Linked DNA regions of Mus musculus. The protein of the gene in region 2 purifies or fractionates together with the protein of the main gene of each other region. This does not show direct contact. Links are inferred from orthologs where the notes say so. Each region holds a gene or a part of one and is shown on either strand. Other genes may lie near its edges.

Region 1 (10,224 bases), on a different chromosome or scaffold from region 2:
TTCTGAAAGCATGGTTTAGCTAGTCACTTGATTTTAAAGACCAGGAACGTAGCCAGGTGTAGTCATCCGTGCCTATAATCCTAGCACTCAAGAGACTGAATCAGAATACGCAGGGTGAGGTCTCCAGTCTGAGTTACACAGTGAGCTCAGGATGAGGCTGAGTTAGTGTGAGACCCTGTCTCACGTAAATAAAACCAGGATGGCATACATGCTTATGATGATATGAGGAAGGTAGAGACAGGAAGAGCAGAAGTTCAAGGCCATCCTCAGTTATATATTGAACTTGAGATCAATTTGGGCTACATGGGACTCTTAAAGAGAGAGAAAAAAAAACAATAAAAACTCCTTGTTCTTTGGCAATAATTATAACTCTGAAATAGCCTTAGAGAGACAAGAATTTTACAGTTGTAATACACAGACTAAGAATGGTTCAATGCAGCCGGGCATGGTGGTGCACGCCTTTAATCCCAGCACTCGGAAGGCAGAGGCAGGTGGATTTCTGAGTTCGAGGCCAGCCTGGTCTACAGAGTGAGTTCCAGGACAGCCAAGGCTACACAGAGAAACCCTGTCTCAGAAAAAAAAAAAAAAAAAAAAGGTTCAATGCATATAAAGATGCCACCTGAAATCTTTCCTGAAAGTCTGGGGATTGAATGGTGGGCTGTCCTTATCCAGTACACAAGGCAGTAAGGAATAGTTAAGTTATTCTTCCAACATATTTCCTTTTCTCCTCCACCCTCTTCATGAAACACAAAAAGCAGATCTCATAAAATACAGCGCCTAGTTCACGAGCACTGCCGAGAGTCTTGACATTACAACAGAGAATCTGTCCCCTGGATGACAGGGACAAAAGCTAATCAGCCCTCCCCTCACTGATGTGAATGACACTGCCTTTACACTGTCCTGTCATCAAAACTTCAACTCTTATGAGCCCTCAACTCTTCCAAAACAGATATAAAAGAAAAACAAAACAAAAAGATTTAAAACTCTTTACCTGAACTGTCTTAAGATGGTGTAACCATGAGAAGAAGAGATGAGTGTTTATTCCTAGCCCTGATTCATGTTAAAAAACAAGAGCATTTCCTTCTCACTTTTTGTTTTGTTTTGTTTGTTTTTCGAGACAGGGTTTCTCTGTGTAGCCCTGGCTATCCTGGAACTCTCTGAAATACCAGACCAGGCTGGCCTCGATTCAGAAATCCTCCTGCCTCTGCCCACTAAGTGCTGGGATTAAAGGCGTGCTCCACCACTGCCCAGCCCTTGTCACATTCTTAATAATCTGTTGGTGAGGCTCACCTCTGAGCTCATAATCTTGGGAAAAAAAATGTGTCTCTCTTGGTAGCACAAGTTAAGCATTCAGTGGCTAGCTGCAGCACCAGTGGCCATTACAGCAGAAGGGAAAGGAAAGAGACCATACTCTGTAAGGTATGCTAACAGGCCAAGAGGAAGAAACCAACCAACAAAGAAATAATTGACATTTAGTTTAAGAATACATTTAGAGATGGGCAGTGGTGGTGCACGCCTTTAATCCCAGCACTTGGGAGGCAGAGCAGATGGATTTTTCGAGGCCAGCCTGGTTTACAGAGTGAGTTCCAGGACAGCCAGGCTACACAGAGAAACCCTGTCTCAGGGAAGGAAAACAACAACAACAACAAAAGCATTTAGAAATACACATATGTAAACATTTCCTATTCTGACGCTCAGAAATCAGGTTTAGAAGGCATCCTACAAGACATTCACAAAACAAACAAATAATATGAACAATAAAACTGAATTTGAGGGGACAGCAATTAAAGTGCTTACTGCTCTCGAAGAGGCTCTGAGTTTAGTTTCTGGAAGCCACACAACAGTTCACAACTATTAACTCCAGCCCCAAAGGATCTGGTCCCTTCTTCTGTCCTAGCCTCCACAGGCACTACCCTCACATACATCCATCCCCACACAGACACAGGCACATAAATCTTAAACATGAATCTGAGGGGCAGAGGCTGTGGCCCAGCAGCAGAGAGCTTGCTTAGTTTACCTGAAAACCCCAAGTTTTGTTTCTTTGTTTGAGACAGGTCTCACTATGTAGCTCTGGCTGTCCTGGAACTCACTTTGTAGACAATGCTGGCCTCAAAATCAGAGATCCACCTGCATCTGTTTCCAAGTGCTGGGATCAAAGGCATGGACTAATGGACTACCACCATCAGCCTTGGCCCCAGTTCTTTTGTTGTTGTTGTTGTTTTTGTTTTGTTTTTCAAGACAGGGTTTCTTTGTGTAGCCCTGGCTGTACTGGAATTCACTTTGTAGACCAGGCTGGCCTTGAACTCAGAAATCCGCCTGTCTCTGCCTCCCGAGTGCTGGGAATAAAGGCGTGCGCCACCACAGCCGGCTCTTAGGCCCTAGTTCTTAAAAGAAAACAAACAAAATAGAAAGATGGGTACAAAGCAAACACCTGTTATGTATTACCTATGATTGGTGCCTCACACCAGTACACCAGTACTTAGGAGGCTAGGTGAGACAAGTTTGCAAGACCAGCCTGGTGTGCATTATAAATTTCAGGTCAGCCTGGGATAAAGTGAGTTCCTGTCTCAAAAGTCAAATAAACAAGCTGAAGAAATGGTTCACTGGGGCTGGAGGTGACTCAGCGGTGAAGAGCACTGGCTGCTTGCTCTTCCAGAGGTCCTGAGTTCAATTCCCAGCAACCACATGGTGGCTCACGACCATCTGTAATGGGATCCAGTGCCCTCTTCTGGTGTGTGAAGACAGCTACAGTGTACCCATATAAATGAAATAAATCTTTGAAAAAAGAAAGAAAGAAAGAAAGAAAGAAAGAAAGAAAGAAAGAAAGAAAGAAAGAAAGAAAGAAAGAAATGGTTCACTGTTTTAGAGTACTGGCTGTTCTTGCAGAGGACCCAGATTCAGTTCACAGCACCCACATGGCAGCTCACAGCTACCTATACCTTCAGTTCCAGGGATCTGAGACCCTCTTCTGATCGTCTCCAGCATGAGTCATGCAAGCGTTGCACAGACAGCCATGCAGGTAAAACACCCAGACATAAAACCAAATTAAAATGTAAAAGCTTACTCTTACATCTTACATACATGCATCCGCATTCAAAGTTTTTATGTTACTTCATAATGAACATTTTCTAGTTTTGAGCACCACGGGGAACAAAACTTAGCATAGCCACTCTCAAACTTTTCCCAGTACAAATCCCAAAGGTACTAGGATTGGTCAAACCTACCTTAAAGAGTCAGGGGGCTTCTCTACTAAGTCTTGCCAGTCTCAAGCACAGTCCTACCCTCTGCTACGAGCAATCTACAAGCCTTGTAGGAACCATACTGACAACTGTGTTCCGGCTCCCTCTCCTTGTTGCTGAAAGCACATGATTCTTCTACTGACCAATAATCTGCAAGTTAGCTACAAAAGGAACTGCTTTTAAGAAAGAAAGAAAAGAAAAGAAAAGAAAAGAAAAGAAAAGAAAAGAAAAGAAAAGGAAGGAAGGGAGAGAGAGAGAGAGAAAGGAAGAAAGAAAGAAAAGAAATCCCACTACCTTTTGAAAAGTTGTGCCTCTGAGGCTAACTGGACTTAGATACCAACTAAATGGAGGCTCACTCTTCGATCCTAGCTTTTAGTCAGGAGTGGTTAATTACTCTCCAGATGGCATGGATGATAAGTTCTGGGTTTGGGAGAACAGATCTGACTTGACAAAAGGCTAAACAGAATTCAGGCAACCCAGTTCTCTATGTTTTAACAGTCTAAGACAAGATCCACGGGAAGACAAAACACAATGCAAATAAATAACGGGGGAATAGAAAACGAGGTGCAGACTGCTCACTCGACGCTTAAGCCATTTGAAGACACACAACAACAGTGTCGGGCAGCAGGTCAAAATACAGCCAATTAAATTTGTAAGAAATTTAACCAAAATTGTAACAAAGCTGCTAACAATATCCAAACTTGCGGAAACAGGGGTAACAATTGTTGAGTTTAGCGGTCTGCACTTTCGCATGAGGAAAGGGTCTTGAATTGAGGAATTAAACGCCTTCAATGCCACTCACCTTCCTGCTTTTATCGCCGACCGAAGTCAGGCCCAAGATCCTGAGAAAACTGGTCTGGAGGTTCGCTGAAGAACTGAGAAAAGTGAAAGTTTACATGGCAAAGGCGTCTCTTCTGAAAGTAGCCAAAATATTTATGACCACACTTTAATGTTTTTTTTTTTAAAGTCTCCTCACAACTATTTAAAACCAAAACAACTTACCTAACTCAATTCTGACTACTGAACAAAACCCATGCCCGTAATGGAAACACAAAGGATTAACACAAGATTTAAACGCCAGGCAAAGTTATCTCCCAGCTCCACCAAGGCTAAAGAGTCACTTATGAGGAAAACCTGTATCTTTTCAACTCTTAAACCAAACCACCCGTCTCAAGCAAACTCCGGAGCAGGGGGGGGGAGGGGAGAATCCGCGGGAGAATGTGATCGCTCTAGTGCGGGTTTGTTTACAGACTACACCAACAATCATGAGTCAGAAATTCAAGCCGCCAGATGCTTTCCAACTAATAAGGACCAAGCGGGACCGTTCTAAGGTGTCCTAAAAGATTTCGGGACACGGGGAGGGGAAGTACATTAAGAGAACTAGATCACAAAGCATTCAAGAACAGACTGCCAGTTTCTTGGACCTCGGCCTTCCGTACGAGGTGCTGGGCCTGAGATCTTGGGATGGGGGAAGGGGGCACACTGCGCGGTGGCCCTGAAGTGACTAGGAGACGCCAACAGAGCCGGGTCCCCAAATTATAAAGGGAGAAATGAGAGTTTACGAATGGGTCACCGGACGAACGAGAAGCCCCTGTGAGTCATGGGGTTGGCCCTAGGGGGCAACCCCGTGGACCGACCCGGGCAGAGGACGAGTCCTCCCAGCACCGACTCGGAGGAGGGGAGTAAGACTTAAAGTCCGGGAGTTTTAGGAAAGGGATCGGGCCTGTCCTGCGGGGAAGCGGTCAGGGAGAGGGGGGAACAGGCCGAGCCGGACGAAACACGGACCCGGTAGGTCAAGGGGAGGGCGTCCGGCTGGGGCAGTTACAAGCACGGGAGCTGGCGAGGCCCGGCAGCCCGCTTCCCATCTAGGGTCATCCTTCTGCCAGCGGATGCTCCGACTGTTCCAGGCCCAGCCGCCCCGTCCACTGCCGCCACCAACGCCGCCGCCATCTTACACTGGCCAGCGGCAGCCACCACCACCGTCTCGGGTCTCCGCGCCTGCGCCTGCGCCGTCACGCTTTCCGGCGGGGTTTGCGACGCTGTGCTGGAGGAGACTGAGCGAGAGCGGTCCCGCGAGCTCTGGGCTCCCAACCCTCCCGGTGGCCGCACAAGGGGCGGAGCCTCGGGCCAACCGAAGCCGCGAGGGGCGCGTGCGCGGGGCGGAGGAGTCAAGTTGTTTTCGTACTTTGAGAGTGATGGCTTGTCTCCTGGTATTCAAAACACATGCGATCTAGGGGCTCCTTGGAGTTGTGCCGGAAAATGAACCTCATTCCAAAGGCTCTGGCAGGCAAACTTCTAGGTGTCCTCCAGGCCTGAGGTTCTAATTCTTGCCATATTTTTTTGTTTGTTTGTTTCCTTGTTTAAAGAAAAACCCCTTTCTCCTTTCAGGCTCAAAGCTGCATTTCCTTCAATGGCTTCTTAAGAGGCCTTCTGCCAGCACCCATTTGTCCATTTGTTTAAAAGAGTCACTAAGGTTTGGGGATGTTGGAATGCTTCCTAAGGGTCTAAAAGTTTTAAAAGTTTGATCCCCACACCTGGGGGTGGGAGTGACACGGCTTAGAAACAGGATTTATTTATTCATTTGAAACAGGATCTTTCTACCCGGGCTGTCCTGGAACTGTAGATCTCACAGAGATCACCCACCTGCCTCTGCCTCTCAGGCGCTGGGATTAGGATTAAAGGCGCTCAACGCTGCAGAGTTTAATTTTTTAAATGAGCATACAAACTAACAGGTTACAAACTAGCACTCAGGAGGCTGAGACAGGATATACACAAGTTGGAGGTCAACCTAGAACAACGGATAGTAAGTTCGGGGCTAGAATAAGTCCTTCCCCGATCCCCAACACACACACACACACACACACACACACGCAATAGGTTTCCATGTGGCATTTTCATATGTATGTGTCATGCCTGTTTCTTCATGGCCCCCTTCCCACTCATTTTCCCCTTCTTGGTTACCTTCCTCCAATAACTACCACTAAGTTTTGTGACTAGTGTATACTCCATTCTCTTTTCTTAGCTTTCCTTCAACTCTCTTTATATCTCTTCCTTGCCTCTCAGTCTCCTGTCTACTTTGTTGTTAAATATGAATACGTGTGTGTAATTAATAGACATATGTATACATGAACTTAAATCCAGATTCTGCATATGGGAGAGGACATGCCATATTTGTCTTTCTGAGTCTAACTTATGTTGTTTATAATCTGCAAATACTATTTCATTCTTCATAGTTGATGGATCCTATTGTGTATATATTCTATATTTTCTTTAATTCATTCATCTGTTGATAAATATCTAGGTTTATTCATAATTTAGCTGTTGTGAAAATACAGCTAAAACATGGATACGCCACATAACTCTGCAGGTTGCTGGTTTTAGGTAACCTCTGTACACTACTTTCTGCTGACACCTAAAGGAAACCTAACCAGGATTCTAGGATTCCAGATTACTCCTAGCTAGCAGGCTGGAGCATTCTTATTTGTAGCAGAAAAATCTAGTAGGATCATTATATCCAGGGTAGGCAGTAGAATAAAATAATTGTTTTTCACTGTTTAGGGTAGACATCAGAATGAAGAGTTTTTTTTCCTGGAAGTAATGTTTTTGTTTTGTTTTGTTTGTTTTTCCAGACAGGGTTTCCTTGCCCTGGCTGTCCTGGAACTCACTTTGTAGACCAGACTGGCCTTGAACTCAAAAATCTGCCTGCCTCTGCTTCCCAAGTGCCAAGACTAAAGGCGTGCGCCACCACTTCCCGGCTTTTTTGGAAGTAATTTGACCTTGAAAAAGATCCTTATAGAAAACCGAGGTGCTTTCTCTCATCTATGGGGTTGTTCTTCTGAAGGAGCTTTACAGTCTTTCAGTGACTTCTGGGTCACAAGATGGTCCTGGCACACCTGCAATACCTTGCATTATCGAGGATTGCAAACAGTACACAGTAAGGACTAGAGTTGTAGGGTGGTTTTCTTCAGGAAACATAGAGCTTTTTAGGGTCTTTAGTATAAAGGAATTTATTCCCCCCTGCCCCGGAAAAAAAAAAGAACAACTTGTGTAACAATCAGTAAACATACTTTTGGGCAGATGTTCAGTACTCAGTCCACAGAGGCTGACTCTTCCTGATGCCTGCAAGGCCAAGTTTCATCCTGCGCTGTTTCCTTTGGTGTGACTCAGAACACCAAGGTTGTTGAAGATGTTTTAGGTGGGTCTCCTGCATCCCAGGCTGTATCCCGCCTCTACCTCCAGAGCCGGGATTACAGGGAAGCATCGCCATTGCTGGTTTATGCAGTGCTGGAGGTGGAGCCACGGGGCTTTTGGGCATGTTGAACAAGTACCCTAACAACCAAACTACGTCTTCGGCCTCTCTTTCTTTTAACCAGAAGGTTAAGGTACTAAGTACAGACTCCTCAACTCTACCCCATACCAATACCATTCCCCTCCTCCCAGGTGTTTTGAGACAGGAACGAGAGTAGCTCAGAATAGCTTCAAATTCACTTCTGAAACTGCTGCCTCCATCTCCCGAGGGTCGGGCATGTGCCACTATGTCTGATTTTATTCGTTGTTGGGAATCAAACTGAGGCCTTCGTGGATACTAGGCAAGCACTCTATAAACTGAGCTCCATTGCCAGATACATTCTATCCCAAGCTGTCTCTTGTTGACTACTTGCTGAAGTAGACATGTGGTAATTAATACTGTTAACTCGACAAGATCTATAATTAGTTAGCAGGCAAGCCTCTAGGCATGCCTGTGAGGGATTACCTAGATTAGGCTAATTGAGGTGGGAAGACCCACCTAATTGTGGGTGACATCATTCCATAAGCTGAGGGGCTTGGCTGAATATACAGAAAGTAAATCGAGTACCAGCATTTATTACTGTTTCTGAACACAATGTGTCCAGCAAGCCTCCAGCTGCCGCGCTCTCCCCATCATGATGAATGATGTCCCCTCAAACTCTAAGCTGAAATCAGTGCTTCACTCACATAATTTGTCCAGCCATTTGGAGAGTAACTACTCCAGCTAGTTTGTCTATCTCCATTAGTGCCCTCATACGAGCAAACGTCAGGCAGCTGAGTGACTTTTAAGATGTAAGTCAGGTCATAGTCCCCTACCCAAAACATCCATTACTTTCTCATCACATAACGAAAGTCAAAATTATCTAGACTGGGCCGAGCATACGTCCCCGGCCTGAGGAGGTGGTGGCGAGCCCACCGCCGTTTGCTGCGACCTCATGGAAGGTGGCGGAGGAAGTAGCAACAAATCCACCAGCGGGTTAGCTGGCTTCTTCGGAGCCGGAGGAGCGGGTTACTCGAACGCTGATTTGGCCGGCGTCCCGCTGACTGGTATGAACCCCCTGTCTCCTTATTTAAATGTGGATCCACGCTATCTCGTTCAGGATACTGATGAATTTATTTTGCCAACTGGAGCTAATAAAACCCGAGGCAGATTTGAACTAGCTTTCTTTACCATTGGAGGATGTTGCATGACAGGGGCCGCATTCGGGGCAATGAACGGTCTTCGTTTAGGATTGAAGGAAACCCAGAGCATGGCCTGGTCCAAACCAAGAAATGTACAGATTTTGAATATGGTGACTAGGCAAGGAGCACTTTGGGCTAATACTCTAGGCTCCCTGGCTTTGCTCTATAGTGCTTTTGGTGTTATCATTGAGAAAACACGGGGTGCAGAAGATGACCTCAACACAGTAGCAGCTGGAACCATGACCGGGATGTTGTATAAATGTACAGGTGGTCTTCGAGGAATAGCACGCGGTGGCCTGGCAGGACTGACACTCACCAGTCTCTATGCACTGTATAACAACTGGGAGCACATGAAAGGTTCCCTGCTCCAACAGTCACTCTGAAGATTTTTGGCACCTCAGGAATGGGGGACACTTCATAGTCATCCAGATCAATTAATAAGCCAGTCTGGAGTTGCTTTCTGTCTTGTACCTACAGTTACTTTGAACAATTGGAGACTCTGATTTGCTGTGACAAAGATCATGGATGGTTAGCCTGGACTGCACTGCTTGCCCTCAGTGAGTGGAAGCCAACCCCTTGGTGGCTCACTGAGTATGTGTTCTCTTCTCCTTTGGAGATGATCTTGCACCCCAAACTGGAAAACCACTTACTCTCCAAATTCAGGCCATACTTTTTATTACCATGTTAATTCATTTAAAAAATCTAAAACTTAAATGTTGCCCTGTTTTCCAAATAAAGGGTGAAAACAGAAAAAAAAAAATTATCTAGACTGATGGCTCAGCAGTTAAGAGCACTAACTGCTCTTCAAGAGGCTTCTGTTTCAAGTCCCAACACCCAACATACTAGCTAACACACTCCAGTTCCAGGAGATCTGATGCCCTCTTCTGGCTTTGTAGGTATTGCACACAAATGGCACACAGACATATATGGAGGGAGGCAAAACACCACGCATTAAATCTTTTTTTTTTTAAAACCAAAATTAGCTCCCAAGGTTCTACATTATCTGGTTCCTATCTTATTTCTGATTTTATCTCTTCCCATGCTGCCTGGAGCTGCTCTAGCCTCATTACCTTTCTTGCTATCAGGAGTACCATATTATGTTCCAGCTCAGTGTTTTACCTTGCAATGTTCAGCTATGTTTATTACACTGCATCTCTCCTAAGTCAGGTCTCTATACAAATGGCACTTTGGTATAACACATAGTTATCTACGGATACCAACTCTGCTTTTATTTCTTTATTTCTTTATTTATGAGGCGGGGTCTCACTGTGTAGTTCCACCTGGCCTTGGAGTCTCAGAGACCCATCTGCCTGCCTCTGCCTCCAGCACACTGTGAGTAACAGCATGTGCCACCACACCTGGTTCTGCTTTCATTTTCACAAGAAGAGGTCTCACAGGCTGAGTGTGGTGGCCCACACCTGTAATTCCAGCCCTTGAGAGTTGGAGGCAAGAGGATCGGTAGTTCAAGTGAGCTATACAGGACCCTGTCTCAAAAAACAAACAGGAAGAGAGGCAG
Region 2 (10,262 bases):
TCCGACTTTCCACTGCTCTGGTGAGTGGTGGGTCCCTGTCAGCTGGAAAGCTGACCCCTGCCTGCCACCTCACCTAATGACCCTCAAGCCGCCTCCTTCCCTCCTACCAGCCCTGCTGGGACTAAAGTGCTGACAGTGCAGATAGTGGTCCTCTCTGTGCTACCGCACTGTGGGTACTTGCTGCTCCAGCAGGGCACGTGCAACGCCCATGGAGGGAAAGGCTGCTTGCTGCTTGAATCCATGAGGGCTAGGACTTGAATTCCTGGTGTCCTAGATATGATCTTAGAAATCTCCATTCTGTCCTCCCCTCTTGGACCTTAGTCATGGGGGCTCCAAAGTGCTGTTCGTGCAGGTAGTGTAATTACCTGACCTACTGCTGAGCTAGCACTTCCCGAGCCCCCAGGACACAACCTCTGATAGTGGCCCTAGCTGAGCGCCCCAGGCTCCATTTGTTTGATGGGGAGCCTAGTGGAGTTCAGAAGGGTCTGGTCTCCCTCACAGGACAGCTGAACACCCACCGGGACTGGCCAGTGTTGAGAGGCGGAGACTTGGGCAATTGCTGGACGCTGCCCTGGGCATTGCACTTGTCTCGGTCTGACAGTGCCGGCCCAACACTGCAGATGTGGGGGGGCAGGGAGGAGTCCCCATTTTTGTTCAATGAGTAGGCAAATGTGGCTTGCCCAGGCTTGAAGCTGGAGCAAAGAAAGATCCTTGACTTCATTCCCCTCCTCCCCTCCTATCCCAATCTTTTCTATGCCTTCCCCTTAGGCTCGACTTCGGATGGTAGACATTGTGGAGAAGGAAGATGTAAATGAAGCCATAAGGTTGATGGAGATGTCGAAGGACTCCCTTCTAGGTGAAAAGGGACAGACAGCTAGGTGAGGATTTTAATGAAGAGTGAGACTGGACCACTGGGCTTATTGACCTGGCTTGCCCTCAGGGTTTTGATGCTGATTGCTGCTACTGTTTGTGGCCTTGCACCTTCACCTTTTCCATCCTTGTCTTTTAGGACCCAGAGGCCAGCAGATGTGATATTTGCCACCATCCGTGAATTGGTGTCACGGGGGCGGAGTGTCCACTTTTCTGAGGCTGAACAGCGCTGCATATCTCGTGGCTTCACACCAGCCCAGTTCCAGGCAGCTCTGGATGAATATGAGGAGCTAAATGTCTGGCAGGTTAATACTTCTCGGACACGGATCACCTTTGTCTGATAGCCAGTTTTTACACCCTCCTGCCTACACCAGAGGGCATGCTGAATGCCCCCTCAAGAAAAAATCTCATTCTCCCATGCTGCACTTTTTTATTCTGCCAATAAAGTGTTTTGATTGCCTCTTGCTTGTTAATAACTCTGTAGAGTTTTTAGTATGCTCTCTCCTCCCCTAGTCTCTAGTACTGACCCTTACTATGTGCTAGTCAATCTGGGAGATAGAAGGCCTTGGGACCACTGTTTCTTGAGATGCTTCCAATTATGGACATTTCGTTTGTTAGACCCCCACATCTAGACGTGATGACACCAGGATGTGAAGGGCAGAAAGTTGCGCCTAGCACAAGGTATGACTTAAGTGGAAGGCCTAAGGATGAGGTACATATCACCCTCCTAGGTACCTTCAGGATATAGAAAAACAAGGACTTGAGATAACCACAATTACAAAGATGGAATTCAGCTTCCCTCCCCTTCCTATTTGAGAAACATTTGCAGTGAAATTAAATTAGCCTGGGAAAGCAATCTTTCTGTGGAGCTGTGACATGAATTGATCACAGAGCACAAAAACTGGAAGCAAGCAGGTCGTCCTATCACATTTTGTCTACTTCAACAAGGGGTCACCTCGAGTCATTAAAAGGTGGGTAGGTGGTCAAAAAATGTGGATTAATGGGTGAAGCTTCCTTAAGAGTCCATGTTGAGAAACCAGTGTGGTGCCTGAGAGGACAAAGCCACTGGAAGGGCTGCTAAGGGGCTGCTCTTTTATTAATGAGTTTCTCTAAAGGGAATGTGGTACTCAGGTCCATGGAACAGCTGTCTGAGCCCCACACACCATCCCTTCCAGAACCATCATCAGAAAAACAGTCCCCGCATTCGCCGGCCAATGCCTTGTCGGTCGTAGAGGACGTTGAACTTGTTCACAAACTGGTTCATTGTGTTGCACGTTTTGGTGATGGTGCCGAGGTAGGCCATGAGCCCCACGTCATTGCATTGCTGGGAGGGAACACAAAGAACCAGTTCCCCAGGGGTCCCTCGTATTAGCCAGTGACACTTGAGTTTCACCTCCTACCTGTGAGGTGGTGTGAGCCCCACCTCCCCATCAAAGGTGTCAACACTCACATCATAAAAGTCTGTCTTGAACTTGTCAGTGCTGAGAACTGGAAGACAGTGACATAGGGCATAGGCCTCCCGCAGGATCTCATGGTTGAAGGGAACCTCTCCTAAGGACACAAGGAGGCTGCACTGATGTGGATGCTGTCACTTTTCCAGGAGAGGAAAAATGTTTCAAAGTGACAGGCACCTCTCCTACCTGCTTCAGAGGCCTTGACATATTCTAAAATGAGCTTCACACGGCTGTGCAGCATCTTGATGGCACTATGCTGAGCTATCAGGTGTTCAGCCACTGCAGGGGAATGGGGCAAATGAAGGGCGGCCTGTGGCCACACCCAACCCCTACCTCCAAAGACTGAATTCCCCTCCCTTACCAGTGGAGTTCTCCCCACTGCCTGTTGCTGTCATCCGGGCCACGTGGTCTACACCGATCCGTTCAGCTTCCTCAGTGGCCAGAGTGTAAGTGAGCTCAGCAAACAGCATTGTGGCCTGCAGAGTAAAGAGTTCTCAGATAGGGAGAGTCAGGAAACAGACCTAGGCCTAGGCAGATGGCTCAGCAGGTAGAGTACTTGCTGCACAACTGAGGATCTCAATTTAGAGCCTCGGAACCCACATTAAGTGAGATGTGACAGCATGTGACTGTAATCCTGGAACCCCTACAGCAAGATGGGAAGTGGAGACACAATTCCCAGAAGCTCACAGGCCAACCTGCCTGGCAAACAAGTGAGTCTGTCCCAAGGTAGAAAGCTAGGATGGACACCCAGGGTTGTCCTATGCCTGCACACGGCATGCAGGAAACAGGCTAAAAGGTTTGAAGGTTGCAGGTTATATATTACCTCTCCATTGATTATATCGATGACAGACTCAAAAACGCTGACAGGAAGCTGTAAAAACACAGACGGAGACAAGAGAACAGCTCTTACTAAAAGCAAATGCACTTGAACTTACACACATGCCAGGCTGGCTTTGAACTCACAATCCTGCCTCAATCTCCTGAGTGCTAAGATTGGTTACAAGTGTTGTCACCACACTTGGCTCATGCTTTCTCTAGGTTTTACACACATTACATATGGAAACACCACTGAAGAGATGAAGTCACACAACTGATGGGTGTAAACAGCAGGGTAGAGATTCAACTCAAGCTTTCTCTAATACACATAATGTCGGTAAATTAGAGCAAAGGCATAGTGGCAGATGATCAAGAAAAAGGGGACATTGGGTCAACAACACTCACATCTGTGTGCTTGGTCATAGGGTTCAACTTCAGAAAGAGCGGACTCTCAATTATCTCACACACCTAGAAGATAAGGCAAAGCCCAGGAAGAGTCAGTATCTCCTCTTCCCCTAACCTTCTGTTCATTTCCCCAACATGCACATATTTGAGCTTCTATACCTGCTTATGGACGTGGATGTCTGAGGGGTCAGGTGGCCCCCCTGTGGTATACCAACCCAGAAACTCCAGCTCCTTGAAAACCTGTTTAACTGGAGAAGAAGGGGCCAGAGTAAATATTCCTTTAAACCTCTCTTCCTTAGTTTGATGGGCCTGGTGTGTTCTTTCCGGTTCTCCCCTCCCTCCTCATATTTTGGGTCAGTTTAAAATAACTACACCTAACTAACCTTGAACTTCTGACCTCTTGCCTCTATCTCCTGGGTTATATGGTACTGAGGATTGAACTCTGGTCTTCCCGAATGTTAGGAAATGCACTTTACCCCACTGCCCTACATCCTCAGGCCTTTTATTCTTTAAGACAAACAAAACAAAACAAAAATCTTCCCACTTTTCCTTCCCCACCCACTTCTATTCCCCTCTCACACTGCTCCTCCTTGGTGTAATAATATTCTTTGTCAATGATAATCTTCTCTTCCACGGTGTGGGACAGCAGCTCAAAGGAGTTCATCACTTCGATATTTCGCCCCTCCTGCTTCCCGATCAGAGCCCCAATCACTAAGGGGAGAGAAACAGAAGCGCAAGGAAACTAGGTGAGGAACAGGCGTCTCGGAAAACCTTTCCCGAGTCGGCGTGAATCAACGACTGGGGAAACAATAATTTGGAAGAAAGGGCGCAGGGGAGTGACTGGAGGAAATCTCCAAGAGATTTTGAGATTTACACACAACACTCACCCTGCATAGGCCGCCCCTCCTGGGAGCGCATGCGGATCCAATGGTCTGAGATGTTAAGGATGACAAGGGGATGAAGAGCGACGGAAACACTCCCAGTCACTCCGGAGGCCATCACGCTGGGGACTGTTAAAGGTGAAAGGAAAACATAGCGGCTGAGAGCTCGGGCCCACACATTTTCCCCTAGACATGGAAGCAGGGGACCAGCAGAGCCCGGCCGTCCATCGCTGCCCTCAAGTTATCCTGGGACAGGTTTAAGAAGTACTCAAGACCACTTCTCAAGGGCAACTCCAGAAGTCGGTCTGCGCACCCCGTTACCTGCTGCATCCACTTCCATGCCGCTGCTGCCTCCGCTCCCATTCGCCCCCGCCGCAGCTGCCGCCGCCATTTTCCCCGCGCCCGCCAGCCACGGCCCGCCCCTTTCCTTCTCGGCTTCCGTCGGGGAGCGGTGCATGCTCAGTGTATACTTGGTGCTGCTAATGGGCGGGGCAGCTGCCAGTACTTAGTAGCTCAGGGTGCTCTGCGTGTTGTGCTGCTGCTAGCGGTTCTCATGTAAACCAGCCTGGCCATGAGTTCTGTAGTGTGTATCTGAAGATGGCTTTGAACTTTGATCCTCTTGCCTTTACCTCCCAAGGAGGGCTATTAGTTTCCAGGTCTCAAGTGGATACACTGTCAATACTAAACACAGAGAAAATTGCGATCAAAAGGAGGAAAGGCTGTAAAAGGGAATGGGGAAGACAATTTATTCAGGATATAAAATTTTTCATGTTGCATATAATCTATAGAGACTTGATCACTTGTTTGTTGAGATAGGGTCTTACAATGTTGGCCAGCTGGTGGGAACTTGCTATTCGTCTAGGCAGACTTCTAGGAGATCCGCCTTCCTCTCCTTCCTGAATGCTGAGATTAAAGGTGTGTACCATACCCAGCATGCCTAGCTTTTAAAACGATGTACTGAGGATCTAAACTCAGGTCCTAACACTTCATCCCCTGAGCCATCTCCCCAGTAGTAATTACTCTTGAATTGTTCAGCTTCTTCAGTTTCAAGACAACCTCTTTACACAACTTAGCAACTGCTATTGGGAGGGCTTGTGGCCCACGCCTTTAATCACAGCCTTTAATCGAGGCGGGCAGACCTCATGAGTTCAAGGCCAGCCTGGACTACAAAGTGAGTTCCATCACAGCCAAAGCTACACAAACAAACCCTGTCGCACAAACAAAAAAAAAAAGGTGGGGGGAGGGGAAGAGTTGCCTTGGTCATGGTGTCTCTTTACAGCAATAGAACAGTGATTAAGACAATTACTTGTAACAAAAAAGAAAACCAAAAAAAAAAAAAAAAAAAAAAGACAATTACTTGCCCAGCATGGTGGCACACGCCTTTAATCCCAGCACTTGGGAGGCAGAGGCAGGCGGATTTCTGAGTTCGAGGCCAGCCTGGTCTACAGAGTGAGTTCCAAAATAAAAAAAATAAAAATAAAAATAAAAATAAAAGAAAACGTTTCCTACTTGGACAATAACTAAGGCTAAGCGACCTGCTTAAATAGCCAAGAAAGAGTATTTGGTCCACAATCATTCATTTGGGGCCAATAACAGCCATTTTTTTAAATTTTTATTTTGGTTTTTCGAGACAGGGTTTCTCTGTATAGCCCTGGCTGTCCTGGAACTCACTTTGTAGACCAGGCTGGCCTTGAACTCAGAAATCTGCCAAGTGCTGGGATTAAAGGTGTGCGCCACCACCGCCCGGGCTACTTTTTATTTTTATTTATTTATTTTTTTTACTAATCACAGTCACTGAAGTATGTGCTTTGGACCAATCATGGCTTTGCACTGATTCGCAGTAGTCCTTCCACTAGGGAAAGGGCTCCCTTCCTGTCACGCTGGAAATGCTTTCAGGTTCATCTACATTTCATAGGGGTCTATGACAGCAAAATATCTGGTAACAACTATGTCAAATACACTGGAAAATCAGCTTCAATCTTTACACAGCTGTCTCAAGACTTCTGTTGTGTGTCCCAGATTGCTGGTGCTAGTCTAAGGGTCATCTAGCTAACTTATGAGACTGACAGTCCTTTTCCTCAGGGCAGCCTGGACAGTGAGAGAGATGGGTACAATAGATGATAATTAGATAGTTAAGTTGCCCTATTCCCAATGTCTTTGGTTAGTTACATGAAAATAAACCTTGGGAGTTTTTATACTATAAACCTAAAGAGATTTCCATTAGAGGAAAAACTGAAGGAAGGGAAGGTCATCATTAGTGCTAACAGCAATTTAACAATATTCTTAAAACACTCAACCCCTGTCTAGAGCTCAAGGAAAGCTGGGTTCCCTTCATCTGTCTTGGAATGATTTTTTTTTTTTTTTGCAGATTTTAATAATGTATTAAAAAGTCAGGCAGTGGTGGAACACACCTGTAGTCCTAATACTCCGGAGGCAGAGGCAGGCAGATCTCTGGAGTTTGAGGCCAGCCTGGTCTACAAACCAAATGCCAGAACAGCCAGGGCTACACAGAGAAACCCTGTGTACTGGCTGATTTTATGTGTCAACTTGACTCAGGCTGGGGTTATCACAGAGAAAGAGCTTCAGTTGGGGAAGTACCTCCATGAGATCCAGCTGTGGGATATTTTCTCAATTAGTGATCAAGGGGGAAAGGCCCCTTGTGGGTGGGACCATCTCTGGGCTGGAAGTCTTGGGTTCTATAAGAGAGCAGGCTGAGCAAGCCAGGAGAAGCAAGCCAGTAAAGAACATCCCTCCATGGCCTCTGCATCGGCTCCTGCTTCCTGACCTGCTTGAGTTCCAGTCCTGACCTCCTTTGGTGATGAACAGCAATGTGGAAGTGTAAGCTGAATAAACCCTTTCCTCCCCAACTTACTTCTTGGTCATGATGTTTGTGCAGGAATAGAAACCCTGACTAAGACACCCTGCCTCGAAAAACAAAACAAGCTGGGTGTGGTGGGGCACACCTTTAATCCCAGCACTTGGGAGGCAGAGGCAGGAGGATTTCTGAGTTCGAGGCCAGCCTAGTCTACAGAGTGAGTTCCAGGACAGCCAGGGCTACACAGAGAAACCCTGTCTCGAAAAACAAACAAACAAACAAACAAACAAACAAACAAAACGAATGAAAGAAAGAAAAACAAAACAATAATAGTGTATAGAAGAACACCTTTGTTTTTTACTCTATTTTGAGTGTGTAAGTGTGTGTGTATGTGTGTGTATAATGTGCATACCCCAGCATAGGTCAGAGGACAGCTAGAGTTTCAGAATGATACCCTGTTTAATTAATTAATTGACTAAGTAAAAGAGTCTATTGGAACATGTTAGGCTTGGGCTTAGGACTAGTCAGGCTATACTGACTTGCAGAGCCTCTTTCTTCATCCTCACAGCTTCTGCAAAAAATAAAAAATAAACTCTGACCAGTCTGCAATCCTCACTTCCCCTAAGGCGGTGCACCAAACCCCAGCAATCGGCGGTTACAGGCGGCACATCTCATATGATAGACACGCATTAGCTAAAGAAACAAACTTTTCCTCTTTCCCTTGGAGCTAGAGTCATAGGTGGTTGTGAGTGTACAGACATGGGTACTGGGAAATGAACTCCAGTCCTGGAATAAGAGTGCGTGCCTCTATCGTGTACTATTGACTAGTCATTCATGACATGGAATGGGGTTACCTACCTCTCTAAAACCTGTAAGATGCAATAGTACTCCTTACTCCTGTTAGTCTCCCGGCCTGAAATCTCTTCACAACTTCCAGCACAATCTCTGTAGCATTAATAATGCTTAAAATAAATTGTTTACCCCCAAACCACAATATGTCTCAGGGTACCTCTTGAACCCCAAATGTGAGCCTTTATAGGAAGCTCATTTTAAATATGTGTTTGTTAATTATTATCATTTGTTTTGAGACCGAGTTTTAGTGTGCAATTGAGGCTGGCCTCAAACTTTTGACTATCTTTCTGTTTCAGGCTCTAAAGTACTGCAATTACAGATGTGTACCCCACGTCAGGCTCGTAAGTGCAGAATCACTTATGTGTCTCATGTAGCCCAAGCTGGCTTTGAACTCAGTATGTACTGAAGAACGAACTTGAGTCCTTGATCTTCCTGCCACCACCTCCCAAATGCTAGGAATACAGTACTGTACCATATTGTCTGGTTTATGCACCATTGGGGATGGGGACCCAGGGCTTCAGCCAGGCTAGTCAAGCAATCTAAAAGCAAAGCTGTGGGCTGGAGAGATGGCTCAGTGGTTAAGAGCACTGACTGCTCTTTCGAAGATCCTGAGTTCAAATCCCAGCAACCACATGGTGGCTCACAACCATCTGTAATGAGATCTGACGCCCTCTTCTGGGGCATCTGAAGACAGCTACAGTGTACTTAGATATAATAATAATAATAAGTAAATCTTTAAAAAAAAAAAAAGTACTGGCTGCTCTTCCAGAGGACCCAGATTCCATGCACTCATATGGCCACTCATTACCGTAACTCCAGTTCCAGAAGATGTGATGGCTTCATCTGACCTATATCTGAATCAGGTGTGTGTGTATGTGTGTGTGTATGCAGGAGAAAAACACTCATTAAAATACTAAATCTTCAAATAAATATTAAATCTATTAAAATAATTTTTTGTCTTGCTTTTTTTGAGACAGGGTTTCTCTATGTAGCCCTGGCTGTCTGGAACTCACTCTGTGACCAGCCTGGCCTCGAACTCAGAAATCTACCTGCCTCTGTCTCCCAAGTGCTGGGATTAAAGGCGTGCACCACCACTGCCTGGTTAAAATAAATCTTTTAAAAACTGAGTGCTGAGTGCTTTAAAAAAAAACCCATGGTGCTATTTTGGATATAATATCATTAGCACCAACATAAATTCCAAATTTTAAAAATATAACTATTATACTTATCAAGCAGTGGAGAAATCATGTTAAAAAGGTAATCCTTTTTTCTACTATAAGAAGTTTTGAAATAAAATATTTTCTTAATTAGTGAGAATGTTCAAAATAATTAAAGAAAAATTGATGAGTAAAAAAAAAAAAACAAAAAAACAAAAAAAAAAAAAAAACAAAAACGGGGGCTGGAGACATGGCTCAGTGGTTAAGAGCACTGACTGCTCTTCCGGAGGTCCTGTGTTCAAATCCCAGCAACCACATGGTGGCTCAAAACCATCTGTAACAAGACCTGACTCCCTCTTCTGGTATCTGAAGACAGCTACAGTGTACTTACATATAATAAATAAAATAAATCTTAAAAAAAAAAAAACCAGAAAAACAAAACAAAAACCAAAACCCATGGTGCACTTTTATTTATTTATTTTTTTGTTTGTTTGTTTTGTTTTGTATCATAGGCCAGGCTGGCCTCACAGAGATCTGCCTGACTGTGCTTCCCCAGCGCTGGGATTAAAGGCGTGCGCCATCACGACCAGCCAATGGTGCACATTTATATTAAAGGATTCTTCAAGTTTCATATATTTGCTATGGAGGTGATGGTGTACTCTCTCTCTTGCTATGGAGGTGATGGTGTACTCTCTCTCTCAGAGCCACTAGAACTTGTGCCCTGAATTTCCTGGACCTCCAACTTCTTCAGCTTACGCATCGTCCCTTCCCAACCTGGCCAGCAAGTGGCGCAGTCTGGTGCCCTTGTTTCCCAGCACCATCGAGAACAGCACCATCAGCGTACCATCGAGAGATGAAGACCTCCCATTTTCCTAGAGAGAGCAAGTGGGCATTTGTTGTCCTGGGTGGTGAGAAAGGACGACCCGGAAACGATATGGGGAGGGGCAGTTTCCGTTCTTTGTTCTGTTCTCCGTTGTGTGGGTCTGTAACAGGGTCCAACAGGACCTGTTTC
Region 3 (10,235 bases), on a different chromosome or scaffold from region 2:
TCATGGCGGTTCAACTTTAGCATCCTGAGGCCTGGGATCACAAGTGTACCATCATGCCTGATGCATTAACATTTTCAAGGTTCCTCCACATTTTAAAGAAAATTTAAAGAAAAAGTTTTAAAGCACAATTTAAAGAAAAAAATGTTTTTAAAGAACAAGAAAGCAGCTGTAATGAATGTGAACTCAGAGGCATTAAAACAGTAAACTTTGGGGCTGGAGATATGGCTCAGCTGTTAAGAGCATTGACTGCTCCTCCAGATTGCTGAGTTCAATTCCCAGCAACCACATGATGGTTCACAACCATCTGTACTGAGATCTAATACCCTCTTCTAGTATGTAGGTTTATATGCAGATTCAGAACTTATACACATTAATAAATAAAATCTTTTTTTTTTTTTTTTTGGTTTTTCAAGACAGGGTTTCTCTGTATAGCCCTGGAACTCACTTTGTAGACCACACCAGCCTCGAACTCAGAAATCCGCCTGCCTCTGCCTCCCAAGTGCTGGGATTAAAGGCGTGTGCCACCACTGCCCGGAAATAAATAAAATCTTAAAAAAAAAAAAAAAAGTAAAAAGTAAAATATTACAACTCAACTTAGAAACACACACAGAGGCTGCAGATCCAGCTCTACTGTAATAAAGCATTTGCCTACCACCACAAAACCCTGGGTCTGTGCTCATATGTGTGTGTGTATTTATGTATATTATGCATGTATTTATACAAGTATATTGTATATAAATATATTATGTATATATTATAAAGTAACATATACAAATACCTATATATAAACTCAATCTGGTGGTACCATACCCATACACCTTTAATTCTAGCACTTAGGAGTCATACATAGGCAGGCAGATCTCTGAGTTCAAGGGAAGCCTTGTTTACAGAACAAGTTCCTGGACAGCCAGAGCTACACAGGCATGATGGCATATACTTGTAAGGGAGACAAGACTATAAAGTAGTCAACAGTCAAACGAAACATACATGCAGAAACACACACACACAAAGGAGTTACTAAGGAAAACATATAGGGGGGAAAGTCAAGGTTATTTTTGGCTATAGTGAGTTTAAATAAAACAAAGGCCTGCCATGTAACTCAGTAGTAAATGTGCCTGCTGTTTAAACTGATGACCAGTTTGATCCCTGAGACCCACATGGTAGAAAGAACTGAAGCCCAAAAATTGTCTTCTGATCTCTAAATGCAAACCACAAATACAAGTGCCCTCCATTTACACATACTAAGACATAACTTTTTTTATGTGTATGAGTGTTTGCCTATATATGTATATATTTGTAGATGACAGAGAGGGCATAGGATATCCTAGAACAAGAACTATGAAGTGGACTGTTGTGAGCTGCCATGGGTGTTGGAAACTGAACTAGTTCCTCTACAAGAATAGCAAGTGCTTTTAAAAGCTAAGACAACTCTCCACCCACTGATGTCATTAAGTGGCTTACCTAGCATTTAGAAAGCCCCCTAGGTTTAATCCTGAGTCTGTATGATACATCAGTGGTATTTTCCTTTTCTTATTTTTTATTTTTGGTTTTTTCGAGACAGGGTTTCTCTGTGTAGCCCTGGCTGTCCTGGAACTCACTTTGTAGACCAGGCTGGGCTCGAACTCAGAAATCTGCCTGCCTCTGCCTCCCAAGTGCTGGGATTAAAGGCATGCACCACCACCTCCCGGCCAGTGTTATTTTCTAGTGATCCCTGTCTAATGTTCACTGTAACTGTTGAAAAATGACTTTCCTGGGGGAAATATGAACCTAACCTGTATTATGGAAGGGGAAAATACATATTCCCAAGTTGTTCTTTGCCTTCCACATAAGCATGCCCATACCCATCCACACAAAAATAAATGTTAAAAATATTTTTTAAGCATGAATGTGTTGTAGTAGTGCCCACATTTAATTTCAGCACTCAGGACACAGAGACTGAGTTTGAGGATAGCCTGGTCTACACAGTGAGGTCCAGGACAGCCAGTACTTTGTAGAGACCTTGTCTCAATAAATACCTAAATAAATACATACATATATAATATAAATAAAAAATAGCATGGGGCTGGAGAGATGGCTTAGTGGTTAAGTGCACTGACTGTTCTTCCAAAGGTCCTGAGTTCAATTCCCAGCAACCACATGGTGGCTCACAACCATCTGTAATGAGAACTGATGCCCTCTTCTGGTGTGTCTGAAGACAGTTATAGTATACTCGTACATAAAATAAATCTTTAAAAAAATTTTTTTAAAAACCCATATGCCAGAAAGATTTTGCTGAAGGGACCCTGTTATACCTGTCTCGTATGAGGCTATGCCAGTGCCTGGCAAATACAGAAATGGATGCTCACAGTCATCTATAAGATGGAACACAGGGCCCCCCAATGGAGAAGCTAGAGAAAGCACCCAAGGAGCAGAAGGAGTCTGCAACCCTATAGGTGGAACAACAATATGAACTAACCAGTACACCCCCCCCCCAGAGCTCGTATTTCTAGCTGCATACGTAGCAGAAGATGGCCTAGTCGGCCATCACTGGGAAGAGAGGCCGCTTGGTATTGCAAACTTTATATGCCCCAGTACAGGGGAATGCCAGGGCCAAGAAGCGGGAGTGGGTGGGTAGGGGAGCAGGGCGGAGGGAGGGTATAGGGAACTTTTGGGATAGCATTTGAAATGTATATAAAGAAAATATCTAATAAATAAATAAATAAATACCATGAGTGTGACCCATCCATCAAAAGGCTTTAATACAAAATTTATAAGGTATCATTTTGTTTGGAGTAATATAGTGGGTATGCATCATTTAATTCATACTTTCTTTGGAGGGCAGGAGTCTAACTATGTACCCCTAGCTAGCCTCTATAGAACAGGCTAGCCTTGAACACATAAAAGATCTGCTTGTCTCTGCCTCCAGAATGCTTAAATAAACCACTACAATGTTTTTTTTATAAGAATCATGCAAAAAGTTATGACACACACCTAATGATGATACAATCAATGGTCACCAAGTTGGGATATCTAGCCCAGGACATTGAGCTAAGTAATTAACTAACTTACATGCTTAATTTTCACAGCCACCCTGTGAGGTGACTTTTATGGATAAGGAAATGAGTTAGAGAGATTTTCAAGACCACACAAATGACACATCCCAGAAAAGAATTAACAATTTAAAAGAACTCAAATCCCAACTCTGCTGAAATGTCTGTGAATTCTTACTTAACTTCTCTAAGTATCAAATTGTTTGGGGGAAAAAAAACTCAACTTCTCTATTAAATAGAAACAGTTGTGGGAGCTAGTGAAAATTCTATATTACAGAATATGAATTCGTAAATGTTTAAAATATCAATTTATACACATGAAATTTCCTCACTCATAAGAATGTGTACAAAGTATTTAGAGGTGATGTACCTACCAGCTCAAATTCCATAAAATTAACACAAGAAGATACAGCAAGCAGTTAACAGTTGAAACTGAAAGATTATCACTTATTTTTAGTTTCCTACTTAAAAGTTTGAGGGGCTATGCTAGGCAGTGGTGGCCCATCCCTTTAATCCCAGCACTTGGGAGGCAGAGGCAGGTGGATTTCTGAGAAAAAAAAAAATAACAAATACACAACACTGTTAACAGTAAATACTATGCTCAAAAAAGTTCCTCAAATTACCTTAACAACCCAAAAAAATCCCAGTTCGAAATGGTTAATGAGTAACTGCTATATACAAACACAAATCTTAAGGTGGGGCAGTGCTGGTTTACACTTTTTTTTTTTTTGGTTTTTCAAGACAAGGTTTCTCTGTGTAGCCCTGGCTGTCCTGGAACTCACTCTGTAGACCAGGCTGGCTTTGAACTCAGAAATCCGCCTGCCTCTGCCTCCCAAGTGCTGGGATTAAAGGCATGCACCACCACCATCCGGCTGGTTTACACTTTTAATCCCAGTGCTCGGGGAAGCAGAAGCAGGCAGATCTGAGTTCGAGGCCAGGCTAGTCTAAACTGAGTTTCAAGGCAACCAAGGCTACACAGAGAAACCCTGTCTCAAAAAACAAAAACACAAATCTTGAGATCAGACTGAAATGTACATATGCTTATAAAAGCCTTGAAGGTAAATGCCAGTAAATCCAAGGAGAAAAAAAGCCTTCAAAAGCTTGCAATAGGAAGATAGTGCTACAATAAGTTAAAACGTGCATGCTACTTAAAAGTCTTTGCCTGAAAGTTAAAAAAAAAAAAAAAAAAAAAACAGCAAACCCGGCAGTGGTAACAGACGCCTTTAATTACAATACTAGAGGCAGAGATAAAAGGATATCTTAGTTCGAAGCCAGCCTAGACTACAATGAGCTCCGGGAAAAAAAAAAAAAAAAGAGCAACGTAAGATAAACAAAAAACGAGTCATTTGTTCCTCAAAAACTACTACTAGACACACCGCAAGAGTATTTCCTCATCAAATGTTAAAACCACAGCAGTAAGAGGAAACGGACCGACACTTTCTAGGAACAGAAGACAAAGTATGGCAAATGCCCTTGAAAGCCCAACAAACAACTAAAAGCCCTCGGAATAAGCGCTGGGGAAACCTGGCAGGCAACCTTAGGTCAGACTCTGGGCGTCTGGACACCCACATACCTCTCTCCCCGTCCCCTCGCTACTGCATTGTACAAGTGGGAGGGGTTCCCGCCGAGCTCCGCCCCCTCCCCGGTCGGAGAGCCGGGAGGGTGCAAGTGGGAGGTGGCACGGAGCCGACCGAGGGAAAAGCCCGCCCAGGTGACTGAGGCTGGAGGCGGGGACACCGTTCCTGAAGGGGTCCGCCGGGCGGCATGGGAAAGAAGATGCCCCTCGTCCCGTGAGGGACAGAGACTTGGAGTGGAAGAGAGAGATTCAAAGAGCACCTCCTTTAGGTAGAGGCGAGCATCCCCTGCCCTCCACACCCCGGCGGAAGAGTTACTCTAAAGAGGCTTCTTTACAGGACGGGAGGAAGGAGCCGGAGGCCCCGCCCCCGGGCCCGGGCCCGGGCTCGGAAGGAGAGCCTCGTCAGGCCCCGGGCCCAGCCGCCTCGGTGGGCTCGCCCAGCCCCTCGCCGCCCGCAGCCGAAGCAGGTGCCGCCCCTCCCCCCAGCGCGGCGCCCACTCTCCCGCCCAGCGGGCCGCGCGCTCGCTCTCCTCGTGCCCCTGCCAGAGAGCCGGCCCCTTCCTAACCCCGCTCACCTTCGCGAGCGGCTCCGCCGCTTCTCCCCCCGACCCCTCCAGCGGCCACGGTTCTCACACACTGCCTCTGGTCCCGCACTCACTCTCCCTCACTCACTCACACACACACATATACACACACACAGCGCGACCACGGCTCCTGAGCGGCCCACATATTATGCGTCACTCGCAGGCTACGTACTGGTCGCGCGCGCACTCAGCGCGCGCGGGTGTGTAACGTTGGCGCGAGGCTCCGGAGCGGGGAAGGGGGAGGAGCCGAGGGACATCAAAGCGCTCCTGGGAAATGAAGTTTCCGCGTTTAAGGGCGGGGGAGGGATGATGGCGCTAGACCTACCATTAAGCACCACCTCAGCGCATTGACTTCTGGGATTCGTAGTTTTCTTTAAGGCGGAAGTGAAAAGTAAAGGAAGGAATAGATCTTTCTAAAAGCCCGGGCTGCCCGAATTTACTTAATTCTACCCTGTGTCATCTAAGGGCTCAGTAGGACACTGCCACATCAGGCTCGGAAGGATGCCAGGGTCAAAGAATGCATTTCACACAAATGTATTCAGAAACAACTGTACTCGTTAGAAATTCGTCGGTTTTCCTTTGTCTTTCTGTTAAAAACATATTCGACAGGAATCAAAAAACATCAGTTACCATGTATTATATGTGAGGCAGAAAAATGAAAGCCCTTTGGTGAAAACAACTAATCACGGAGGCCATCTAATTCAATTTATCAATTTTAGAGTTAAGGAAAATGAAACCCACAGTAAATGACTTGCCTAACTTCACAAACCAAAGGGAAGCTGCATCGGAAGGATCTGGTTTTGACCCAGCGATTCTGTGTGATAACATGGAAGATTACGATAACTCCACAATTGAGCAGAATCTTGACAAAACCTACCCAGACGTCAGGATTCATGCAACTCACTATTGTTCTTGGCATTCTGAGCGAGTTCTGTGCGTTTCCATAGAGCGATTACAGCCAATACGTTCTTGTGGAAATTATAAGACACTGTGGACCTCTTGTCATGATCAGATTCTACGGCTGTTACTAAGCCTGTATCAGAAGAGTGGTAGTGGCAGTGGCGCATGCCTTTAATCCCAGCACTTGGGAAACAGAGGCAGGCGGATCTCTGAGTTCAAGACCAGCCTGGTCTACAGAGTGAGTTCCAGGACAGCCAGGGCTACAGAGATTTCCCTCTGGAAAAAAAAAAAAAAAAAGCAGGAAGAGGAAGGGGAAGAAGAAGAGACAAAGAAAGAAAAGAAAGAAAAGCAAGCAAGCAAGCAAGCAAGCAAGCAAGCAAGCAAGCAAGCAAGCAAGCAAGCAAGCAAGAAAGAAAGAAAGAAAGAAAGAAAGAAAGAAAGAAAGAAAGAAAGAAAGAAAGAGAAAAGCAGCAGCCAGTATCTTAGGGCTTAAATCCACTACCACCCTACCCCCACCCACCTGAGCACTTCGTTCCTTCCTCACTCAATTATGTGCTTGGAGTAACAGCTGCTTGAAATACAAATTCTAGAGGGTGAATAGCAGTGCTACAGGCATATAACTTGTAATCACGCTCTTGCTACAACACAGCTTTCTCCTGTGCATCTGAAATCTTGTCTCTTGAGCTATAATGACCATTATTTATTTAGACTCTATAGCAGACTTGAATCAAATGGTTTTTTTTTTAAGATTTATTTATTTTATGTGAGTAGCCTGTCACTCTCTTCAGACACACCAGGAGAGAGCATCAGATCCCATTACAGATGGTTGTGAGCCACTATGTGGTTGCTGGGAATTGAACTCAGGACCTCTGGAAGAGCAGTCAGTGCTCTTACCTGCTCAGCCACCTCTCCATCCCTAAATCAAATGTTTTAATTACACTCATTATTCTCAACACCAGGGCAGATAAGGCTAGCCAACTTTATGGAGGAGAAATCAAAAGTAGTAATGTTGAATGAAGAGTTTCGCTGGGCATGGTGTCACATGCCTTTAATCCCAGCACATGTGAGGCAGAGGCAGGTGGATCTCTGAGTTAGAGGCCAGCCTGGTGTACACATTGAGTTCCAGGATAGCCAGAGCTACATTTAGATAGATAATGCCTCAAAACAGACAGACAGACAAAAAAAGATACAGATTTGGGGGCTGGAGAGAGCCTAACATGAAAGAGCATTGGCTGCTCTTCAGAGGACCAGGATTTGATTCCCAGTACCCAAATGGTTTCACAACCACCTGGAAATTCAGTTCCAGGGGATCAGACGCCCTCTTCTGGCCTCTGGGCATCATACATGCATGGAGTGCACCTACATAAATGCAAGTACAACACTTGTATACATAAATAAATCTTTAATTTTTTTTTCAAGACAGAGCCTCGATATCCAGCTCCAGCTGTCCCGTACTCCCCTGTGTAGACCAGCTCTGGCACTGAAATCACAGACATTCCCCTGCCTCTGCATTCCAAGTGCTGCAAATAAAGGCGTGTACCACTGTGACCAGCTACATTTTTATCTTAAAAAAGAGAGTTCACAACACCTAAAATACTATTTCAGGCAGCTTTCCTGCCATATCTTCTTGGGCTATAAGCCCAAAATGTAGAGGGATGGCTCCTCCAGGTATCCTCAATCCCTTGGATACCTTACCTCTTCCTGTGGTCTAGATGCAAGAGCCCTTGTGAGGACCCAAAGCCCAGTTCATCAAAGCAGGAGTTGCTACCTCATTCTGTCACCAGATGGCACTACCCCACTTTAGGAACCCAGTGTGGGGGTACTGGATTGGAGGTCTTAAGGGGCATCAAATGGGATTGTAGTAGAAAAGCAGAAATACAGGGCCTGTCTAGAAGCAACTCCCTCAAGAATATCTACCATGCCAGGCAACAGTGACGCACACCTTTAAACCCAGCACTCAGGAGGCAGAGTCAGGAAAATCTCTAGAGTTTGAGGCCAACCTGGTCTATAGAGAGAATTCCAGGACACCCAGGGCCACTCAAAAAAAACCCTATGTTGAAAAAAAAAAAAAATCAGCCAGGCAGTGGTGGCGCACGCCTTTAATCCCAGCACTTGGGAGGCAGAGGCAGGCGGATTTCTGAGTTCGAGGCCAGCCTGATCTACAGAGTGAGTTCCAGGACAGCCAGGGCTGCACAGAGAAACCGTGTCTCAAAAAAACCAAAAAGAAAGAGAGAGAGAGAGAAAGAAAAGAAAAGAGAAGAGAAGAGAAGAGAAGAGAAGAGAAGAGAAGAGAAGAGAAGAGAAGAAAAGAAAGAGCTGGACATGGCAGTGCAAGCCGCCAGTCCCAGCACATGAGTGGAGAGGTGAGGATCAAAAATTCAAGATCATCCTTGGCTAACACACCAACTTTGAGGCAAACGTGAGACACATGAGACCTTGTCTCCAAAAATAATCTCCACCCTAGAACTTTTGCAGCCCTCTCTCCCTCACTCTGAACACTGTGTAAAACCACAGCCACATGCGGCCAAGCACTCCAGACTCCCATTCTGGAAAGAAAGAGCAGCACCCAGGCGTCCCTAGCTACATATTCCAGATTCAATCATTGGCTATTTCACAGGAGGGGTATTACCCACATGGCTAGATAGAAAAGTGTGTGTGTGTGTGTGTGTGTATGTATTAGGCACCCGTGTTTAGAGCCAACTTTCACGCCTAAGCACACAGAAACACAAAACCACAGATAACCCAGGCCTGCGCACCTAGCTTGATTCTGGCACATTGGATCTGAATCTTTAAAAGGAGCATTTTGTCCTGGATTGTTTGTTTTGGCTTCTTTGGTAGAATATCTGAGGGCTTTGTCCTACTGTGCTCTACTCGTGCCTCTCTCCCTGCTGGGACAACTGGGAAAGTAATCCCTGCCAGAAATGGGAGGAATCGTGCTTACTAAGCTCCCCAGAATCAGAAAGGACAAGAGGAACAGGACGTTGGTGGGGCATGCCTTTTCCAGCACTCGGGGCAGGCAGATCTCTGAGTTCTAGGCCATCCTGGTCTACAGAGTGAGTTCAGGACAGCTAGGACTGTTGCACGGAGAAACCCTGTCTCAAAAACAGAAAACAAAACAAAAAAAAAGAGATAGTTTTGAAAATAAAGGGTTGGGGGGGGAGGTGCTGGAGAGATGGCTCAGTGCTTAAGAGTACTAGATATTCTTCCAGAGGACCAAAGTTCAATTCCCAGCACCCACATGGCATTTTATAAGTGTAATTCCTGTTCCAGGGGATCCTCACATACGCACGTGCAGGCAGAACACCAGTGCACATAAAATTTTAAAAAGTCATTTTAAAAAGTGAAGGGCTAGCCTGTACTGCCATGCACACATGTATGAACAGAGACAGTGTTTTAAGACAATAAAACGGGAGGCAGAGGCAGGCAGATTTCTGAGTTCAAGGCCAGCCTGGTCTACAAAGTGAGTTCCAGGACAGCCAGAGCTAAACAGAGAAACCCTGTCTCGAAAAACCAAAAAAAAAAAAAAAAAAAGACAATAAAAGGACAAGAGGCACCCCAGCTCCAGCCCCAGAATCAAGGGTAACAATCCTAGACATAATCTACCTATCCCTGTCACAAGTGTGCCTGTTATTTATAAAGAAAAAAATCTGGGGCTGGCGAGATGGCTCAGTGGGTAAGAGCACTGACTGCTCTTCCAAAGGTCCTGAGTTCAAATCTCAGCAACCACATGGTGACTCACAACTACCCGTAATGAGATCTGATGCCCTCTTCTGGTGCGTCTGAAGACAGCTACAGTGTTCTTATGTATAATAATAAATAAATCTTTAAAAAAAAATAGAAAAATCCACAGTAGCATCCTCTGGGCCTCAAGCTCCACCTCCTTCTATAACTACTTTTCTCCAAGTGCCTCCTTTCTAGGTTCGCCCTACCCTGGTGCTACCCAATACCCCCTGCTTTCTTCTGGAACTCACTGAAGCTAGATGAATCTTTCATCTGCTTAATGCTCTGTTAATTGAACAAAACTAAGCTACCAGCATCACAGATGTTTCTGAAAATAGTATCAGTGCTTCCAAGCTCTGGGGACCCCAGCCTAGACAAAAAGGAAATCTCAGTCATGCACTAGTTGACCCACCTAGTGAACTCCAA

What was found. Proteins that work in one complex are often made in the same cells at the same time.
Region 1: the proteins of Cops6 (region 2) and Dcaf8 purify together in Homo sapiens (affinity purification with mass spectrometry; 3 studies listed by BioGRID and IntAct, with this or other methods). This does not show direct contact. The link is inferred for Mus musculus from reciprocal best matches to the Homo sapiens genes COPS6 and DCAF8.
Region 3: the proteins of Cops6 (region 2) and Dcaf1 purify together in Homo sapiens (affinity purification with mass spectrometry; 7 studies listed by BioGRID and IntAct, with this or other methods). This does not show direct contact. The link is inferred for Mus musculus from reciprocal best matches to the Homo sapiens genes COPS6 and DCAF1.

What each region holds. Positions count from the first base shown.
Region 1 is NC_000067.6:172,143,139-172,153,362, reverse strand, and holds the start of Dcaf8 (DDB1- and CUL4-associated factor 8), read right to left. Parts: upstream 5,349-10,224; 5' UTR 5,025-5,348; exon of another isoform or gene 4,242-5,024; intron 4,115-4,241; 5' UTR 4,042-4,114; intron 1-4,041. UniProt on the Homo sapiens protein: May function as a substrate receptor for CUL4-DDB1 E3 ubiquitin-protein ligase complex.
Region 2 is NC_000071.6:138,155,668-138,165,929, reverse strand, and holds Cops6 (COP9 signalosome complex subunit 6), read right to left. Parts: upstream 4,829-10,262; 5' UTR 4,818-4,828; coding exon 4,748-4,817; intron 4,556-4,747; coding exon 4,433-4,555; intron 4,257-4,432; coding exon 4,125-4,256; intron 3,794-4,124; coding exon 3,705-3,793; intron 3,609-3,704; coding exon 3,546-3,608; intron 3,196-3,545; coding exon 3,148-3,195; intron 2,801-3,147; coding exon 2,686-2,800; intron 2,604-2,685; coding exon 2,511-2,603; intron 2,422-2,510; coding exon 2,321-2,421; intron 2,195-2,320; coding exon 2,054-2,194; 3' UTR 1,946-2,053; downstream 1-1,945. Other genes in the region: DNA replication licensing factor MCM7, read left to right, coding at 1-20, 769-878, 1,010-1,211. UniProt on the Homo sapiens protein: Component of the COP9 signalosome complex (CSN), a complex involved in various cellular and developmental processes.
Region 3 is NC_000075.6:106,817,037-106,827,271, reverse strand, and holds the start of Dcaf1 (DDB1- and CUL4-associated factor 1), read right to left. Parts: upstream 5,349-10,235; 5' UTR 5,181-5,348; intron 1-5,180. UniProt on the Homo sapiens protein: Acts both as a substrate recognition component of E3 ubiquitin-protein ligase complexes and as an atypical serine/threonine-protein kinase, playing key roles in various processes such as cell cycle, telomerase regulation and histone modification.